Regions from separate parts of the Mus musculus genome. Here all the other regions are reported to be linked to region 1. Evidence: microRNA targets listed by miRTarBase, many of them from high-throughput screens and not tested one by one. Region 1 holds a microRNA gene; each other region holds the end of a gene's coding sequence.

Evidence for each region. The annotated mature microRNA mmu-miR-5098 reads GUUACAUGGUGAAGCCCAGUU and lies in region 1 at 2,840-2,860, shown strand. An mRNA with a match to its seed (bases 2 to 7 or 8) in the 3' UTR can be bound and repressed. Matches are read on the target gene's strand: a 7mer-m8 pairs with bases 2 to 8, a 7mer-A1 pairs with bases 2 to 7 and ends in A, and an 8mer does both.
Region 2: miRTarBase lists Il15ra as a target of mmu-miR-5098. Seed matches in the 3' UTR shown: 7mer-A1 at 1,367-1,373.
Region 3: miRTarBase lists Agtrap as a target of mmu-miR-5098. Seed matches in the 3' UTR shown: 7mer-A1 at 3,882-3,888.
Region 4: the mRNA of Thap1 is a reported target of mmu-miR-5098. Seed matches in the 3' UTR shown: 7mer-A1 at 3,371-3,377 and 8mer at 2,893-2,900.
Region 5: miRTarBase lists Crp as a target of mmu-miR-5098. Seed matches in the 3' UTR shown: 7mer-A1 at 839-845.

What each region holds. Positions count from the first base shown.
Region 1 is chr5:77,269,928-77,274,046 of GRCm38, forward strand. It overlaps Mir5098 (microRNA 5098), which reads left to right and starts at 2,830; the gene lies at 2,830-2,911. The region is part of intron 2 of Rest (RE1-silencing transcription factor); the gene reads left to right.
Region 2 is chr2:11,732,471-11,736,589 of GRCm38, forward strand. It overlaps Il15ra (interleukin 15 receptor, alpha chain), which reads left to right. Exons shown (of 7, transcript NM_008358.2): 7 at 680-1,515. The coding sequence ends at 779. Among named protein-coding and RNA genes, the nearest start is that of Gm46731, 11 kb to the right of the region's middle.
Region 3 is chr4:148,076,924-148,081,042 of GRCm38, reverse strand. Agtrap (angiotensin II, type I receptor-associated protein) reads left to right here. Exons shown (of 5, transcript NM_009642.5): 5 at 439-3,982. The coding sequence ends at 560. Among named protein-coding and RNA genes, the nearest start is that of Gm13201, 2.5 kb to the right of the region's middle.
Region 4 is chr8:26,162,335-26,166,453 of GRCm38, reverse strand. Thap1 (THAP domain containing, apoptosis associated protein 1) reads right to left here. Exons shown (of 3, transcript NM_199042.2): 3 at 2,303-4,020. The coding sequence ends at 3,655. Among named protein-coding and RNA genes, the nearest start is that of Thap1, 6.2 kb to the right of the region's middle.
Region 5 is chr1:172,698,429-172,702,547 of GRCm38, forward strand. Crp (C-reactive protein, pentraxin-related) reads left to right here. Exons shown (of 2, transcript NM_007768.4): 2 at 1-1,538. The coding sequence ends at 599. Among named protein-coding and RNA genes, the nearest start is that of Crp, 2.4 kb to the left of the region's middle.

The DNA of each region.
Region 1 (4,119 bases):
GCGCCACCACTGTCCGGCATGAAGCCATTTTTCTAAGAGAGCAAGCAGGCATACCTAGGAGAACTTCATTTCAGACAAGCATTTGTTGAGCATATCCTAATACCTACAGGTTTTGAGGACTTTCTGGCCCAGAAGTATAAGTCTGAGGGGCTTTCATGGTCCATCTCCCCAGGCTTAGACCAAAAAGAAAAGTTTCAGGGGGTTAGAGAGATGGCTCAGTGGTTAAGAGCACTGGCTGTTCTTCCAGAGGTCCTGAGCAGAGTCCGCTAAGAAAAGCTTATCCTGGAGATTCATGTATGACCTTGGCTGGCCTGAACTCCCCCAGTGTATCATTCTGTCCCCAAACTTTGCTTTTGGACCCTGAGTGCATAGATTACAGGTCTGTGTCACCACACCAGTCCTTGTTTTGTGAGACAAGGGTTTGTTTCAGTAGTAGCCTGGCCCTGCTGAATTCTTGCTTCTTGAGGCTATTATTAACAAGTCTAGGAAGATAGGTGTGAGCCACAAAACCCTGGCCAGCCTAGCACTCCCTCTCCTGCCTCAGCCTTCTGATGTCTAAGACAAGCAGATGCAGATACTGAGATGGGTGTACTTAGCTTTATTGAACTTTTAGTGTTTGGTTGAATGTTTGATAGTACTGGGCATAGAGTAACTTCAACATTTATCGGAGTTGATTCATTCTGTCAGATACAATCAGAATGGATTGTAACTGTCAACCCTAGAATGGCACTTTGCATATGTATATATGTACAAAAGGGTGGAAGAGTGCTTAGGGCAATTTCAGAAATGGTTGGAAATTCTGCTCTGGTCTCAAAGTGAAACTTTGTTAAATGCTTTGTTTTGTTTTTTAAACTCAAGTTTGTGGCTGTGCATGGTGATGCATAGCTTGAATCCCAGTGACTTCCAGGACAGCCAGGGCTGGACAAATAGAACCCTCTCTGGGGTAGGGTGGACTGGAGGATAGGGTTGGGGGTGACAGGCACAAAACAAGAAAAATTCAGGTCTGCTGTTCTAAAGGGCAAACATTCTAATCCGGTCTGCACACAGTAGGGAAGGATAGAAGGCTTTAGATTCTGAAGTGGGGACCGTTATGTTTCCATAAGACCAGAAACTTCATGTGTGCAGTGAAAATTGCAGTTGCTAACAGCAGTGGTCTGCAGTGTGAGCCAGGGCTCCTAGCTGCTGCATGCACAGACCCCAGTGTTCTGTGCATGGAGAACCAGGGCTACAGGTAGGGCTGCCAGAAACAGCTCAGATTTTATTTTATTATTATGATGTAGTCAGGCTGTCCTGGATTCACAGAAATCCACCTGTCTCCATCTCCCAGTGCTGGGATCAAAGGCTTGTGCCACTACACCTGGCTTAGATTTTGAATTAATTTTAGTTCTTTAGAAACATTTTATTGCCAGTTGTTTTGGATCCCCTGTTTATAAAGTGATTGCTGCTTGAATCTTACCCAGTGGTGAACAGATTGTATCATCTATGCTATTTTATCCAGATACCAGCCAGGCCGTGGTGGCGCACACCTTTAATCCCAGCACTTGGAAGCAGAGGCAGGTGGATTTCTGAGTTGGAGGTCAGCCTGGTTTACAGAGTGAGTTCCAGGACATCTAGGACTACACAGAGAAACCCTGTCTCGAAAACAAACAAATAAACAATCTCTATCCAGATACCATGTTCTCCAGGCTGCTTTAAGGACGTCTCTTAAACTTTAGAGTCTAATAGTGCGCTGCTTGTGCAGAGGACCTGAGTTCTGTCCCCAGCACCCAGGGCTTAGATCTCAGCAGGTGCCTGTGCACCCACACATAGACACATAACATAGAAACCCAGGAAAAAACAAAGACAGACATGGTGCAGCAGCCTGGCCTCAATCTCAGCAGAAGCAGACAGCTAGGTTTGAAGGTTAGAAGCCAGTTTTTTTTTTTTTTTTTTTAATAGGTTTTCCGAGACAGGGTTTCTCTGTGTAACCCTGGCTGTCCTGGAGCTCCCTCTGTAGACCAGGCTGGCCTGGAACTCAGAGATCCACCTGCCTCTGCCTCGGGTGCTGGGCTCAAAGGTGTGCGTGCCCCCCCCCCCCCCCCCCAAGCTGGAGCCAGCCTGGCCTTGACTTTTGTCAGGCCAGCTAGCCCTACATGTATGTAGTAAGACCTTGTCTAAAAAACTTTGGAAAAAAAAAGTTTAAAATCTTTGTGGTGGCTAGAATTAAACAGCATTTGGAGGCAAGAGGCAGGTTTAGAGCTGCAACTTTGAGAGTCTGTCTGTCTGCCTGCCTGCATATGCATATCCATACATGTAGCTGCAAATTAGCCAGGTGACATAGTGAGACCCTCCCCCCCCACCCCCCAATGGTAGAGAGTAAATAAACATTGAGGGAATAATTGCTTCACTGAGAAAACCATGGCTCACTGTGACATTCCTCTGGTTCCTACTAATACAGACCATGCCAGACAATATGTGGTCACTACAGTGCTTCCGTGCTTTAGTAATTCTACTTAATAGCCAAGTCTGTATTTATACCTTCAGAGCTGGTAGGTTGCTGAGGCCTGTAGGAGGTTTGCAAAGCTACATTCGGTCAGTTCCTCAGAAGCTGAGACTGGGGGATCATTAGTTCAAGGTCAGCCTGGGCTTCACAATGAAGCCCTGTTTCAGGTCCAGGAAGGGGAAAAAAAAACCTTACTAATGAGCTAAAGTATTTTCATTTGTTGATTGAAGAATAGTTCTAATGGGGGGATATTTTACTTTTTTTTTTAGATTTTATTTTAATTTGGTATAGTGGCCCCCCACTTTTATCCTAGCATTTCAGAGGCCTCTGCAGGCCTGATCTATAGGATTAGCCAGAGTTACATGGTGAAGCCCAGTTTTGTTTTGTTTTGTTTTTGAGACAGGGTTTCTCTGTGTAGCCCTGGCTGTCCTGGAACTCACGCTGTAGACCAGGCTCAGAAATCCGCCTGCCTCTGCCTCCCGAGTGCTGGGATTACAGGCCTGTGCCACCACTGTCCGGCAGAGGCCCAGTTTTGAAAAACAACCAAACAACGATTTTAATGAAGAGTGTGGGAGTGGTAAGACTAGTGTCTGTTTGTTTCCTAGGAAGGAAGAAGTATCAGGCTCTCCACCTAATCATTATTTGTTTAATTTTTGCTTGTTTGACACAGGGTTTCTCTTTGTATCCCCAGCTGTCCTGGAACTTGCTGTATAAACAGGCTGGCCCTAAACTGCAGAGATCCCCCTGCCTCTGCCTTCCCAGTGGCACTATTCCCAGCCCTTTTCAATTCTAAGGCTTTTTTTTTTTCCTTTGAGTGCTGTTCTGTGCAGGTGCCCTGGGGCCAGAGCTATGTGGCGCCCAGGGACGCCTGGGCTGCAGTTACCCGCCTGGGCTGCAGTTACCCGCCTGGGCTGCAGTTACCCGTGGCAGTTGTGAGCCACCTGCTGTGGGGGCTGGGAACTGAATTTGGTCTTTGAAGCATTGCCTGCTCTCTTAATGGAAGACCTCTGTCTCACCCCCGCCCCCACTTCCTCTAGAAGATTTATTTTTATTTTTGTTCTTGGTGAGGGTTTTACACGTGTATGGATGTCTGTGGGGGCTTTAGGATCCCCTCAGAACTGAGGTTACAGGTGCCAGTGACATGGGTATTGGGAACCTAACAAACTTGGGCACTTTGGAAGAGCATGTGTTTTTAACTGCTGAGTCATCTCTCTCCCCCTTTTAAGTAGGATCTTGCTATATACCTCAAGTGGAACTTGAATTCCAGGTTTTCCTACTTGGGCTCCTGGTGCTGAGAGTATAAGCACACGTGATCACATCCATTTTAGTGATTGTTTTATATGGGGGGGGCTGTTATCCAGTATATAGCCTTTAGCTACCCTTTGTTGTTGGGGGGCCATACAGGGAGGGTTTCTCTGCATATCAGAGGTACTCTCAGAGATCCCCATCTACCTCTAGCTCCTGAGAGCTAGAATTAAAGGTGAGGCCGCCACACCCATCTCCCTCTCTCTAAACAGAGCTAGAGATAACCTAAGGCTTACCATATCTGAGCATACTCCCTGCAGCTGAGCTGCATCTCCAGACTCTTTTCTTCGTTTCCGAGTGTAGGAATGTGGCATTGCATCTCTCTGTCATGA
Region 2 (4,119 bases), not on the chromosome of region 1:
TGTCTCACACAAAACTCTTTACTTAATCATGGCTTGAAAATTTATTTATCCATAAGAAAACATTATATGAGCCATGGTAGATATCACTGACCAAGATACTTAGGGCCTAAAAACCAAGGGAACTCCCAGACAGGTAGACACACAGACACAGCCAGACACACAGACACAGCCAGACACACAGACACAGAATACAGAGCCTCCCCCTGCTCTTGCTATCCGGGAGCTTTTCACTGTATTTAATGCTAAATACAAGAATGTTTTTTTAAAAAGCCTTGTGAGTATCTAGCAACCTTCATCCATACCATCAAGCCTGGTCCACCATGGTCCCCGTCTCCTCTCTCCATCCCTTGCTACCCATGCTGGTTTCTAGAGGATGATCAGCGGAGTTGGAGGGAGGGTGGGGTGGCATGGTCTGTTCCAGCAACCTTGCTAAAGCCCTGGTGGATGGATGGCAAGGTTGAAGATCTCTAAATAGGATTCAAACTCTTGCTATGTGCACATTCGGGAAGCCTAGGTTTTCCTAATCTCTAAACAGCACAGACCTCTGAGAGTGGGGGTGGAGGGTGACATTTGCTAATGTAACCCACTCAGTACCGGGCATACATGTTCAGTAAGAGATATGTTGACTGAAGGGTGGTCCTGTCCTCTTTTTAAAACCTGTGAATGAACTGCTTTATAGGCAGCCTTCTCAGCCGTGCCGTGTTGAGGTGGAAACCATGGAAACAGTACCAATGACTGTGAGGGCCAGCAGCAAGGAGGATGAAGACACAGGAGCCTAACCACACGATTTCAGAAACTCAGGGAGACCTGCCCAGCTGATCCTGAAGAGAAGATACAAGGGCAGTTAGTCCAGCTGCGCCTGGACACAGGAGAAAGCCCAATGTGATAATAGAGGTCTCTGGTATGATCTGTTTTACTGAGCCTGGGTGCCTCCCATATTCAGGCCTGGATCCCCGGAGTCCGGAAGGACACCACCTTTCTTCCTGGTTCATCACAGAGGCCAACTTCCCAGAGTACAAGCAGCCTGAGCTCTCCTGGGAGTCTCCATTAAAAGCCTCGAGTTCCACTCAGAGATTAACTCAAAGCAGCTGATCTGCTAGACTCTTTTTCTATTCCCTACTCTGACTTGCAGTTTACAGAGATTGACAAGGCTCCCATTGTCTTCCAAGGCTCCTCTGGCACAGGAGATGTCTGTAAAGAAGACAGCAACATTTGAGCTCCTGAAGACTTGGCCCTTTGCTGCTTTGCACCTATTGGAGGAGAGCAGAGAACAGAAGAAGAGATACTGAGCCAATGAACCCTTTCGTATAGGATTCATGACAAAACCAAACTCAGTGACTATATATGTATGTGTGTGTGTGTGTGTATGTAAAAGTGTATATTTACATATACATTTATATTTATACTTTCTTTTCTATTATATCTACATATTGTATATGATTTATATTTGAAAGTGCTTTGTGTAGACAAAATAAAATATCTATTTTCAGTACAAAAAGCATTAAAATTATCAACAAAAAAAAATGTTCCTCAAAGGAAAAAAGGAGAAAGAGGGGTGAAATGGTTCTAATGTGAAAGAGATCTCAGGTTCTCTTTCAAAAACAGAGTCACACCACCACTGCCCTGCTTTTGGTGGGATTTTTAACCAAATTTCCTAGTGAGTAGAAGCAACGTGAACTAAACAATGGCAAGTCTGAGCCCAGCTAGCATTAGACACATACCTTTCTCTCTCTCTCTCCCCACTCCCTCCCTTTCTCCTCCCTCCCTCCTTCCCACCTTCTTCATTTCTCCCCTTCCTACCCCTTTCCTGTTATCACAACCATTTATAAAATCATAAGACAAATTCCACTTCTTTGTTTTATTTATTTATTTATTATTATTATTTGTTGGAGAGCCGTGGATAAAAAGGGATTTGCCCCTAGTAGGCAAGTATTTCACCACTAAATCATATCCACATATCTACCTTTACAGACAAAATAATAGTAGCCTGGAGAAGTTGATCTGCCCAAAGTCACATAGCTCAACTAATGCTACCACTTGGACAAAACTGGGGTGGGAAGTTGGGTAGGAGAGGAGCTCTGGTCATGAGTCAGCTGCCAATGGGCCTCCTGCATCCCTGGGTAAAGGGGAACCACCATAAGTATTTGGGAGATGAGTTAAACACCTGGTGCACAAGCTACCATTCCTAACTGGCTTCTGCCAGACATCAGTGTATGTGGTTTCTTTCATCAAAACTAAAGGAAGTCTTTCCGCATAGGTCATGGGCTTCCTCAGAACATGGTAGACTAGTTAGGTTGTTTAAATGGTGACCACCCTGCTTTGATTTTCCATTAAGGATCTTTTACTTTTTCTATTGCCTAAGATTGCTCCATTCCCGAGGAATTCGGTTTTGTTTTGGTTTTTTTTTTTTGTTTTTTTTTTTGTTTTTTTGTTTTTTTTTATCTAACAGCCAGAATCTGCCTATAGCCCAGGTTGAATTCATTTCTGAATATCATACTGCCTTCTGGAGTTTGGAGAATTGGACTTTCTTTTGAACATGACACTGGAACCTGCACATTGTTGGAGTACCTCATTGTCCTCTAATATAAAAGCCAGCTGCTCCCTGGTCTATGGCACATAGAGTAGGTCTATCAGAGCATCTCACCTAGTACTTTGGGTTACTCTATATGGAATGAATGAAATACAACAGGCTGTGCCCAGCAATGGCCCTGCTACCAGGGAACTGGCTGGGGTTGTTTTTCTCTGTCAGATGTGGTGGTTTGAAAAGCAATGACCCCTAAAGGGTTCTATATTTGAAGGTAGTACCAAGAGTGGGGCAGTGCTGTGATACAGCTGACCATGTTTCATTTGTTGTTGATTTTGTTTGTTTCGTTGAAGAATATGGAAGGCTTTAGGACTTTGGACTAGGAAGACAGTTGAAAGGTAAACGTGGGTCTTAATGGGTCATTCTAGTAGGTTCTTGGAAGACAGCAGTGCTGGAAAGTGTCACCTATAGAGGTCCAGCTCAAGAGGTTTCAGAAGTTAACAATATTAGCAACTGGGCTAGAAGCCATTCTTGAGGCATTTTAAGGAAGAATGTAGCTGCTTTCTGCCCTTGTCCTATTAATCTGTTTGAGACTGAATTGAATTTTTTATCTAATTTCATTGTCAGATGATATTTCAAGACAGCCAAATACTGAATTTGTCACTTGGTTATTAGTTATGACTCTTATGCCGATCTATAAAGCAAAAGGAGCAAATGGGAAAGAACAAAATGTACAGCTTGGGGAGAAAAAAAAGAGTACTAGGGAACTTGGTGTTCAAGCCAGGATTTGGGCATGAAGAGATAAGAAAAAAAAGTGAATGTCCTTGGGATGAGAGTCCTGCAATAAAAAGAAAAGGCTGTAGGGACTACCGGCTCATAAAGAGCAAAAAGAAAGTTTATGCAAATGTAATCAAGGGTGGGGCTAGGCTCCAGGCCACACAGACAGCAAAACTTAGCAGTTTGGACTGTGTTCTAGGTTTAGAGTCTTGGCCATTTCAGGAAACGGTGAAAGTGAAACCTGAATTGTGTGGGAGATCCTCCGAGCTGTTGGAAGTGGCAGGGCTGTGGGATGCCTGCTAGAGAGAGCAGTGGACAGGAGTGGAACCAGCCTAGGAGAGAGAAGTACGTTGTTGGTATCCGAGGTGGGAAGGTGGAGTCATCTAAACCCTTTTAACATCAGAGATGTCAGGATGTGGCGTTTACCCTGCTAGGTTTTGGTCTTGCTTTTGCCCAGTATTTCATTACCATGTCCTCATTCCTCCCTCCTGGAATGGTAATGTATATTCTGTGCCATTGTAGGTTGGAAGAGAACAATTTGCTTTTTGATTTTGCCAGGGGTTACAATTAAGACATTGCCCTGAGTCTCAGAAGGGACTCTGGACTTCAAAACTATGTTGAGAGTAAAAGGCTATGGGAACTTTTAAAGTTGGGCTTGGCATCTTTTGCATTATGGCATAGTTACAAGTTTATGGAGACCAAGAAGTGGAGTCTGGTGGCTTGAATGAGAATGGCCTCCAAAGGCTCGTGTATTTGAAGGCTTGGTCACCAGTTGGTGGACCTACTTCAGAAGGATTAGTAAGTGTGGCTGTCTTAGT
Region 3 (4,119 bases), not on the chromosome of region 1:
CAGCTATGCCAGGCTCTGCGGCTTCTAGAAATGGTGACTGAGGAGAGCAGGAGAAAAGTGCGTGGGCTGAGGACTAGCCACCCCTCTTCAGATCCCTCATCAGTGCTTCTGGGGCAGATTTGGCACAGCAGCCAGGAGCCACTGACCATAGGACCTGATGTCTAGGCTGGAACCCAGTGTCCTATGCCTCAAGCCAAATGATATCAAATCAGCCTGTCTCTCTGACCCTCAGATGTCTCTCATCTGCAGATCCACCCATCAGATGCTAGGATTGAGTGGATGCTGCCTGCCAAAGGCTTGGTGTCTGGGCTTCTGCTACTGCACATTGTCCTTAGCATCATGGTGTTGAACTCTAGCCATGGCAGACGGTGGATCCATCTGTGCTTAGCAAAAACCCCAGGGTCTCATTTTCTCTATGCACATGTCCCTGTCCTCTAGATTTCTTCGGACCCTCTCAGGAGCACAGTGCCTACCAGACAATTGACTCATCATCAGACGCTGCTGCAGACCCCTTTGCAAGCCTGGAGAACAAGGGCCAAGCTGTCCCCCGGGGGTACTGAAGCTGTCCCTGGTCGTCCTGGTCCCCAGCAGGATTCTTGTTCAAACCTTCTTTACCTGGACCTACAGTGGGGCATCCGCCATTCCCTATCACAGAGGTGGCCTGAGTCATGTGCCCTTGGAGGTCAAGAGCCTCTAGCTTCTCAGTGGAGAAGAGCCCAGTCCTAATTCTCCAGGCTACCCCTCCCTTCAAGACACCTGTTAACCCCTGGGCTAGAGCTGTGGTTGGTTTTTTCCCCTCCTACCCCATAACTATAACACACTCCTACTGAACTGCCCAGAGTGCTCAGGGCCAGCCAGGCCTCATGGGTTAGTGATCACTGCCGCTCGGGCTGCCCCATGGTGATCAGCCCTTCCTAGAAGCTCTGTGAGCTTGTGGTCCCGCTCAGCCTGCTCTGCAAAGGGGCAAAGTTCCTGTGCCTGTCACGGCCTCATGACTTGGTGTCTGAGAACCCCAGGCCTGGATGCAGTAGTTCTTCAGAGGCCCCTCTCAGAGTGCTGGCATTAAAAATTCAGGGGTTCTGTGGCTGCTCTGTGTCTGAGCCACGATTGAGCTCCAAGCACAGACCCACCCTGCTGTCTTGGTATGATTTTTGCCTTTGAGTCAAGAGCCTGATGGAAGGAAGGGCTACCTGTGGGCCTGTGGGGGGAGCCTGACTGTGGCCAAACGGTCAGTGTGGCATGTGGACAGACATCTGTCCTCTGAATCTAAGTGACTATCACTGCCTCTGATACTGACCCATGAGGCAGGGCATGGGTGACTCCCTCTATCTCCTGCGTTCTTACCACAGTCGACTGCCTCCTGAGGTTCCAGGGCCCCTATTCTTACTGCCAGATCTCTGGGGACAGATACTTGAAGACTTATGGGGAACCACAGGCTGAGGTGACTGTCCTGAAAGGACTGTCTGCACACCTGTGGACAGGCAGGGAGGCTGAGTGACAGCATCTGTGAAAAGTGAACCCCACCCCCCACCCCCGCCTCTGGACAGGGTCACTGTGGAACACCATCCCATACAATCAGCATCCCATACAATCAGCATCCTGAGCCCAGTGTGAGCAGAGTGAGGAGCAGCGTGTGCCACTAGAGGGAGGTAGTTGTGAGGCAACCTCTCACAAAACCCTTAGGTTTGTTTAGGTTGTATGCAGCACAGTATAAAACATGAGCCGGGGCCCAGAGACGAGGCTCAGCAGCAGGTGAAAGGAGTCAGTCTACTACTTAGCGTGACAATCTGTGTTTAGTTTTGGACCGACTTGAGAAAGTTGTCCTCTGACCTCCACACATACTCTTGTCATGGTATGAGGTTTTACACACAAACAGAGAGAAGAGAGAGAGAGAGAAAGAAAGAAAGATAGATAAAAACAAACAATCCAGAATATTAAAAACCTGCCTGGTGGGTGGTTAATCCCAGCACTCGGGAGGCAGAGGCAAGTGAATGTCAGAGATTGAGGCCAGGCCTGGTCTACAGAGTGAATTCCAGGTCAGCCAGGGCTACACAGAGAAACCCTGTCTACAAAAAAATAACAAAAAAGCTCTGGGATGCATGTCAAGTTCCTGACTGCAGAGGCCTTGGGGGAGAAGGGAACATGAGGCCTGCGGCAAGGAAGATGGAAAACCCAGGGTGTTTCTCCTGTTTCTGGGCAGTTTCTAGGCAGAAGGAAGGCCTGGAGTATCAGTGCCGTGTCTCTTGGAATAGGTCATGCTTGCAGAGACGAATAAGGTGAGGCAGGGGCTCAGCCTAAGTAGCTAAGACAGGTCCCAGAGCCTGCATCCCTCAGATCCAGCTGACCTTAGGGAAAGGTGGAGGAGGAATATCTCTGGAAGAGCCCCAAAAGCAGACTAGAGCAGGGGAGCTGGGCTTTCTCATTGGTCAATGGCTGTCCCACAGTGGATGACAAACTTCCAGCTGATGGAGGAGAGGCCCCGAGGCAAGCAGAATAGGTGGGTGAAGAGAAGAGACATGCCCTAGAGGCAGCAGTGGGCTAGAGAGGGTCTAAGTGGAGGGGCAGCCCCCCAGGAAGGCTGGCCTGGAACACTGGCCAGCATGTGGTTAGGAAGTGGTGTGGCTGGAGCGCTTAGTGTCAGATAGCAGAAGAGCAGGTTGGGAGCCACCATGGGGACTGCCTTCCACTGAGTAAGAACTCAAGAGAGCATGCATCGGTATCCGAATCTGAATGTGACTGGTTGATACTCCCTAGAAGGATACTTTGTACTTGTTGGCTGTGGGAATGTGACAACTGTCACCTCCTGGACACACTCTGAAGGTGGGCCTGCGGGAACTGCTGATGCACCGAAGAGAGAAGCCAGGAATACTAACAGTAGGATTGGGGCTGTACCCTGTAGTTGCCACTGACTGGAAAGCCAAGAGGAGCACACAGGCTGGTGGGGCACAGGATGGCCAGGCAGGGTCCAGAAGGCTGTGCTTGTGGGACGGGGCTCTTCAACCAGCTGCTCTCACGGGCACCTGCCTTTGTGCCACAAGGCCCCGTGGTGGTTTGGAAACAGGCTGGCCCCCAGGTTTTAGTCTAGAGCCTGCCGTTCTTGGGAGGTCTCTTACCTGTTGCCTGCAGAGCTGAAGTCTCTTGTCCTGTTTGCAAGTCTATTGCTTGCTTGTTGAGTTGAATCTTCCTGAGAAACTGCCCCTGAGGCACTCAGTGTTCTGTCTGCCAAACTGCTGGTGTGCCCTACTCAGTCTCCAGAACAGCCCTGTAGGTCCAGCCCTCTCTGCAACCAGAGAACCTTGTTTTAAATTTCAAAGGACCAGTGAGATGGCCTGTTGGGGAAGGGCCTTGTCACTAAAATATGAGTTTGATCTCTGGGTCCCATAGGGTGGAACTGACTCCTGCAAGTTGTCCTCTGACCTCCATGTTAGTACTGTGGCACATGCCTCCTCCACAAATAAACGTAATTAAATCTAAAGGTACCCTGAGATTTCTGTATAGGAAACAACTGTTTTAAAAAATCTCACTGTGGGGAGGCAGAGACAGGCAGATTTCTGAGTTCGAGGCCAGCCTGGTCTACAAAGTGAGTTCCGGGACAGCCAGGACTATACAGGGAAACCCTGTCTCAAAAAAACAAAAACAAAAAACCAACAAAAACAAACAAAAAAATCTCACTGTGTCTCAGTTTCCTGTTCTGAAAAGTGGGGATAAGATGGGCCATTGAGATAGCTCAGTGGGTAGAGGGTACATACTGCCAGGTCTGATGACCTGGGTTCGAGTCCTAGGACATGTATAAGAAGAGACTTCTCACCTCCATATAAACACCATGGCACTTGGCGTGTGTGTGTGTGTGTGTGTGTGTGGCACACGCACACACGGTAAAAATGTAAAATAAAGTGAGGATAAAAATCGTGTGTGACTCAGGGACTAGTGAAGGTTGAGAATAGTGGAACCTCGATGGTAATAAATGTTAAAGCTTATTGTATGCATTGCTGTGTGATTAATCACAAGGGGAGGGTGAGAAGCCTGCTCCTCCAGATACCTATCATTTATCAATCGTGTGATCATCCTGAGGGAGGCACCTTTACACAATATCAGAAGGCTGGAAGTATCCTCTGAGGT
Region 4 (4,119 bases), not on the chromosome of region 1:
CCAATTAAGTTTCGTTGTTGTTGTTGTTAGTTGTTGAATCCTGAGCTGATGCAGTCAGCATTCTGGGCAGGCAAACAACCTTCGTTCTTACTGTAAGTTCTATGTGCTGCTTCCAAAGATGAGGAATTACAAGCAGACATCTAAATGGTCTCTACCTTAGGATCTGGGCCCATATCCTAGGTCAAAGCCTACCCACCTGGCTCAGCTACCTCTTCCTTCCCGTGCGTGGCAAAAGGCAAAGCAGTTATAACCATGCTCGCCCTCTCTACGCCACGGCTACCCTTCACGGATGTGCTCTGAGATTCTCTTGCTCAGTAGCTGCTGTGGTTTCATTTTAAGAAGGCAGAGGCTAAGGGCATCATACTAACACTGCTTCAACTCCAAGAATTAAAGGAAAGATTTTTATTGCTCAACCGTTTTCTTATCCCTTCCTACTGACATATTCATATTCTCTCTGGGTCTACTGGCTGAAAATGTTTGTGTTTGTTCCTCTGACTAACGGTATGGTTTCTGTATGGTTAGAGTTGTAGTGTTTTCAAATGTATTTTATTACTTTGGACTGGATGTTTGTCTCCAGCAATACGAGGTACTTTCCGTGAAATAAGATAACGGTTGTTTAAATTTTGGAGAGGTTTTGTTGTTGTTATTGGTTTGTTTTTTGTTTTTGTTTTTGTTTTTTTGGTTTTTGTTTTGTTTTGTTTTGTTTTTTTGGCCTGCAGGGATATTTTGTGTTCATGTGTCCAAAAAGTGGGGAAGGGGAATAAATTGGCATTCTTGTGCTAAAAGTTGTTTTTCTCATCAGTTGAGACATAAATATAGAATACACTGTAAAAGAAATCTTTTTTTTAAATTTAAAACCAAGTGTTGTTATCATGTATAAGACTCTAGTACACACACGTGTGTTCTGTCTCTTGTTAAAGTCTGTTTCCAAGGCACGACCCAACAGGTGATAATAATTATCGGAACCACTCTATACAGGGGACAAGGAAGACAGGGCTTGGGTCCAGTTAGTTGTCACTGGACTGAACAACAGGGCTCTTGTCCAGTGTCCCATGAGCTCACTGTTTTTAAAGGAGCATTACCTTTTGTGTGTACCATTATTTATACCATGGTACAAAGATGTCCATAGTAAAAATACCTCCTGGGATGCTCTCTTATGGAGATAACAGAGAGAATCCTCTCTTTTAAAGTCTCCCAATGGTAACTCCAGCATTAGTTTCCACAGGGCTTTCTTGTTGAGTTCTGCTGCATGTCATAAACATCAATGTGATGACGTTTTGCTCTGTGTCTGCTTTATCTATAAATTTGCTACAAATACTCATTTCAAACCAAAAGCACAGTTATGGTAAAGGACTCCACGTACTACACAGAGTATCCTGTGTTTTCTGTAAGGTTTACCCGAGAACATATGAAGCTGCATAGTTTATCACTGTGCACACAGGTAATATAACTTCACTCAGTTATCCTGTGTATGTTGTTAGGATTCTGCTTCCTTTCATTAAAGTCACGTAGTCAACTTTTTGTTAAGCACAGTCATGTCCTCTGAGCCAAACAACAGCCATCTTTGTTGAGGTTTGGTCTTGCTCTGTGTATTGTAAGGCTAAGTGCAACCCGAAAAACCTAGAGTCCCTAGTAACCGTGGCATGTGACCTTGCCCCCAAGTTATTTCTGACTGGGAAATATCGATGCAGACAGCTGGCAGCTGGGCAGAAGGGAAATTGCTAGGGTTTAGGATTCCTGGGCTTGGGGTTGGAGGGGAACCACCGGAGGAACAGAAGGTGAGGAGAAAGAAGCCAGCATGGTTTAGGTGAGCCATGGAAACGGGCTGAGGGCTGACCAATTGGAGTTAAGAGCAGCCCTGATGAAACACTGTTTAAGTAATAACTCGGGGCTATCGATAGAAACGTATATTCTAATAGCAGAGAGGGTAGGTGTCTGCCCAGCTCTTGAGCTGCTTAAGGCTTATTGGAAATAATAAGTTGTGTGTCTTCTATCCAGGAACTGAATGGTCAAAGGCGGGTAGGAACTCCAGACTGGGGTTAAAAATGTCTACAACACATCTTCGTAAGATTAGCTGTGCTTGTTTATAAAAGATCATCATAGCTGGATTAGACTGTTGATCAGCCTTTTTAGAAAGAGTGGGTGGGCGGGGTTATTGGACTCTCATCTGAGTACCTAGCTCCTCCTCCCAGCCAGCGTTACGCAATTATAAGCTATTTACATGTAGTAAAAAAAAAAAAAAAAAGTGCTACCTATTCTCAGCATGGTAGTAAATCAGAAAGAAAAAAGCAGGGCCACAAGATACTGGAATAACATGTCTTTAATACTGTCTTGAAAGGTCCGCTATTCTTCAGCTACAGTGTCCTCTGAGATATAAAATACGGTTCTCCTACACCTAGAGAATTCTTTTATCAGCACTTGTCCACTCAGAACATATTTTCACTTGAAGCATACGTAACCTTTCTCACAGAACACAATCCACAGTGTGAACAGAAACTGCAATATTTAAGTCTCAACGGCGACACAAACACGACACATTACTTTTGAACGTAAGTCACTTGGAGTAAATTGGATATAACTTCTAACTTAAGAGTTGAAAAAAATATTTTCTATGAAATGTCTTGTCCAAAATCATACAGTTAAGGGAAAATTTATCAAAGACTTAAGTACAAAGGGCAAAGTACGGTATTATAGTACAAACCAAACTCTACTAAAATAATCTGTCAGAGGTCTGAATGCAGATTTAACTACAGCTGTGGAATCGGGTGCCTTTGCCAGGGGATGATCAGAGCATATTAGGAGCCAGGTCCCAACTTTTCTTTCTTTAGAAGGTTGTCACAGCACACATGGGGACCTGAAGGTGACTCTGTGGAGTGGTTCTCTCCTTCCACCTTTACATGGGCCCCAGGGGTTAAACCCAGGCAGCGAGGCTTGCACGAACCTTCAACCACTGAAACATCTCTCCAGCCCCGCCCCCAATTTTCTCTTCACTGATGCCAATACCTGATTGGAGGCCTGCCACTCCCCAAGACACACTTCTAATTTCATAACGCTAGGGACAAAAAGGATCTACTCTTAAAACTACTCTTTATGAAACTATTAACTATGGAATGATTTTTCTGAAGACAGCAAAATATTGTTTGCCTCAAATACTGGCTTGACAGTTCATTTTTGATAAGTGATTGAGAAAAATAAATGAAGCTCTGGCTATAAATACAAAATGTGTGTATGTATACCTCTATATTCTGAAAGGCTCTGTCCTATGCTCTCACTTAAACATCTGATTTAAATTATAAGTTATCTCAATAAAGGGCATTAATTTTTAAACTTAAATCATTTTATCATACCATCACCCTCTCTACTTTTTATTTTTACATTATTTCTATAAATACTCAAATGAAAAACAATCCACCATCTTGAAACCAATATACAACATTATATTGGTGGTTTAAGGATTTTTTAAATATTTGTTAAAATGTAGAAACTCTGAAATTACAAACAAAAAAATTACAATTTTACAGTATATATCTAATTTATTTTAAAAAAATATTGTTTTTTTAATACAAGTAATTAAGTGTTATTTTTTCAAATGAACTCCTGTATGTAGGCTAAAAGAAGGTGTATAGTCTTGTCCCACTAACACATCTCATTTTTTCATGCTGGAACTTCAACAATTTCAAAGTAGTCATTTGGTAGGATCACGTAGCCCCTCTCGGACGCGTCGTCCTTCTCTCTCTGAAAGTGGACGACTTCCTTGAGCTTCTCGAGCTGCCTCTCCTGCCGCCGGCACCGCTGCTGGGCCGTCTTGAGCTTCTTCCTGAGTTTCTCCACCTGCTGCTCCAGCTGCAGGATCCTCTTCCTCTGGTGCATCGTATCCTCCACAGTGTAATTGTGGTCACAGAAAACCGACAGGTTATCAGGGGTCTGCAGAGGGGGCATTAGCAGCCCAATAGCAGCATCAACCTGGGAAGCGGGGGGTGAAGGAGAGGGGAGCTGTTCTTGGGATTCCAGGTCTTCCTTCTAGACAGCAACAGACAAGCACGTGGGGTTAGTAACTAACATAGCTGAGGTTTCAACATTAAACAGTTTTTGTCACTCCATGATACACAAGAAGTCCAA
Region 5 (4,119 bases), not on the chromosome of region 1:
CCTTTGTATTTCCCAAGGAGTCAGATACTTCCTATGTGTCTCTGGAAGCAGAGTCAAAGAAGCCACTGAACACCTTTACTGTGTGTCTCCATTTCTACACTGCTCTGAGCACAGTGCGCAGCTTCAGTGTCTTCTCTTATGCTACCAAGAAGAACTCTAACGACATTCTCATATTTTGGAATAAGGATAAACAGTATACTTTTGGAGTGGGTGGTGCTGAAGTACGATTCATGGTTTCAGAGATTCCTGAGGCTCCAACACACATCTGTGCCAGCTGGGAGTCTGCTACGGGGATTGTAGAGTTCTGGATTGATGGGAAACCCAAGGTGCGGAAAAGTCTGCACAAGGGCTACACTGTGGGGCCAGATGCAAGCATCATCTTGGGGCAGGAGCAGGACTCGTATGGCGGTGACTTTGATGCAAAGCAGTCTTTGGTGGGAGACATCGGAGATGTGAACATGTGGGACTTTGTGCTATCTCCAGAACAGATCAGCACAGTCTATGTTGGTGGGACACTCAGCCCCAATGTTTTGAACTGGCGGGCACTGAACTATAAAGCACAGGGTGATGTGTTTATTAAGCCGCAGCTGTGGTCCTGACCTACTGTTGTGAGCCCTGAAGCACCTCCTGGGATTACATTCTCTCCCTTGTCTCGGGTTATGAACCTTTTAGCCCCAGCAGATGTTGTAGGTCTGTTCTGTGAATATGGCCTTTCACTTCTCTGCTTTGTGGTCCTCAGCACTAGAGCACGGAATTTAAATGGAAGGCTTCCAGCATAAGCATCCCACTAGGACTCTACCAAAGAGAATCTGACTTACCCATGGTTTTATATATATATATGTAAATATCCATATATATATATATAATTGAAAAAATTTCAGACATAATTCTTCTCCCTCACATAGATGAAAAAATAGATGCACAGAAAGGAGAATAATTTTTTATTGTTTTTGTTTTATAATGTCATCTTGAGTGCTGTATTTACATACTTTCTATCCCTCCCTCTTCAGATCCTTTCCTATCCTTCCAAATTCTCTCTCAAATTCATGATGTCTTATTATTAGCCTTATGCATATATACATATGCATAATACCTATCATCTATCAATCAATCAATCAATCAATCAATCTATCTATCTATCTATCTATCTATCTATCTATCTATCTATCTATCTATCTACCTATCTATCATCTATTCATCAGTCATCCATCTTACTGATTACATTTAGTGCTTCTTGTATTTTGTTGAAGACTGGACACTGGATAATCTATCAGGAGGGCCCCTCCCTGAAGACTGATTGTCCTTTTCTCAGCAGCCACTGATTACCTCTAGCTCTTCATATAGGGTTCTGTCTTTGTGAAATTTCTTCTGTCCATGTTGCATGTCAATTGGTGTCATTATGCAGGTCTTGTTTGGGCAACCTAGAGTGATGGAGCACTGACTACACTGTGCTCAGAATCAGTTCTTTTCTGGAATAAAATCTGTACCTGAACTTCCCCAGTCCATGAGTCAATAAAGTCACCTTTGGCTTGAATGAATTTGAGCAGTTTTATGAATAACTTCATTATTGACCCTCTGAAATCAAGACTCTAAATTCAGGTTGACTGTCACTGTCATGCAGAATCATATCCAAGCCATACTACCTCCTGCTGCTGGAGTCTTTTGTGATGAGTCTCTCTGAGGTGAATAGCTCTACTTTGGAGATAGCTGGTCATTCATGGGGTTCAGGTGTGGGGTTCTGATACTCTCCCTTTTAGATTTCCAGTTTGAGAACAAACATCTAAAGACTTCTGAGATTCATGAATCTGTAGTCAAGTCCAGTGATGGAGTACATTTGCTTCAGTCTGTTTGGCTGCTTTATAGAAACAGACCCCTCAACACTGCTGACTTTTCCTGGAGGCATCCTTTATCATGGTCTTTCCAGACTGGGTCAACAATGAATTCATTTCATAAGGCCTTATTCAGGTTGGAGAAGGGACTTATTCAATCATTGTTTTAGGGAAGGCATAGGATAGAATGGTTAAATTTAGAGGTTCTAGAATCAGGTCCATGTCCTGGTTTTATATCATACAATTATGTGACTTCTTTGAACTCAGTTTTCTTACCTATAAGTCAAGAGAAATGATTTAATTAATTTAAAGGTCATTGTAAGAGCCAGCTCTGATTACACAAACAGTAAGCTTGTATAAGAGCCACCCTCTGTTATTACTAGTTGGCTTTGTACTACATGCCTAAATATTATACACCATGAAAATAGTGCTGTTGGAGTTTTGTCTAGGTTGAAAGCATGTGTGTTTCTGATTTGCTAAAAATTCAGTTCAGACCATTAGGAGGATGAACAGAGTGTCTTTAAAGAAATTATTTATGAATATCGATTTCCCTAATTGACCTTTGATAACCATTTAGAAGCACAAGAGTTAGGGAAATACATTCTTAGGCAAAAATGTGAGTGCAGATAATTCTCCATTGTCCAATTAGGGCAGATCCATACACCCTGACACTCAGCTAAGTGGGAGAGAGGGTTGATGCTCTTTTCTAGTTAACGAATCTAACCAGGAGATATGTCTTAATTATAGAAGGCCGTCCCAACTCCTTAGGGATGTGGGATGAGCTAATATGTTCTTCAGAATTCAATTATGGCTACCTTGCTACACACAGTCTAGCAGAGAGCCTCTGGCCCCGATGATTTTATCCAGGGAAATTTTAACAGGCAGTATTTACATTCAGTGTGGATTAAAAAATCTTAATAAATATTTCTATAGTGCTTAAATTGAAGCAATTTGCCTTTTTGGCAGATACTTTGATATAATCTTAGAAAATATATTCCTAGGTACCTGGTGAATTGTCATGATATATGAAGTTGTTAGATGTAATTTAATAAAATGATATCTGTTGAGGATGATTTTGATTTGGGAATGTTGGTGCTGTTATTTTAATTTTTTTATAAGTGGATAATACCAACCTTCCATGCTGGTCACTCTAGGTGATATTGGCAATGCTGTGTCATTGCACTGGGATTTCCAGGGATCATGCATCAAGCTTATCCAGGAGCATTAAAGTGCAAGTTAAAAAGACAGAGAGCCCTGCTCTACATAAATCTGAATATCAAAAGTAGGCAATGGTTAGGGAGATGGCTTAGTTGGTAAAGCACTTGTCTTGCAAGCCTGAGAACCTGAGTTCAGGACCCAGAACCCACACAATTGCCAGGCATGGTGCTCCATGTTTGTAGTCTCAACACTGTCGAGGTAGGAACAACAGGATCACGGAGGCTAAATGGCCAGCCTGTCTGATCTAAGTTGATAAGCCAGATTAATGGGAGACTCTGTTTCAAAATATGTAGGTGGTGCTCCTGATGATGATCTCCAAGATTGTTTTCTGGCTTCTACACAGTGTGAACATGTGCATACACAACTGCGCGCGCACACACACACATGCCTGCATGCACATAGGTATGCACACACATGTACATGAACACTTAAAATCATAGCAAAATACTATGCCTTATTTACAAGCAAGTAAGTTAAGTGGACTTATTTCATTTTTTTTCCTACAGAAAATAGAGACTCTGGTTCTAATCTTCTGGCAAGGCCCGAAGAGACATTGTAATTCATTTATAGGCTAAATCCAGAAGATTGAGCAATAGCACAGGTTAGAGCACCCAAGGATGGCTAACTACGCACACAACTTTCTTTTGTAATTGAAAACTGACATTTGGTACAAAGGTTAGGCCTACCTCTGGCCTGAACAGCAGCATCTAAGCAGAAGATGCAACATGGTACTGTACAGTCAGGAGCCGACATTGGAGAAGCTAAAAACTAGCAGGTAAACTTCCTGACACAGTTCAGAAGCCTGGCATATTCTTGTGTCAGGTGGAAATACTGTGCTATTGTTCATGAAAGAGGCTTTGCATATTCTCCAATAGGAGGCATCACGACAATGTCACACTTAGGATGGCAATTTATGTAGGTGCAGGTGAATGCATGGGGACCCATCTCTTTGGTAAGATCTGGTCTATCTAGAGCCTAGAAGAGGGACTACAGACCTCCCCAAAGGTGGAGATAGGGTCCAACAGACATAGATTTGTAATGCAAGTTGACAAAGTAAGGAGAATATTAAATT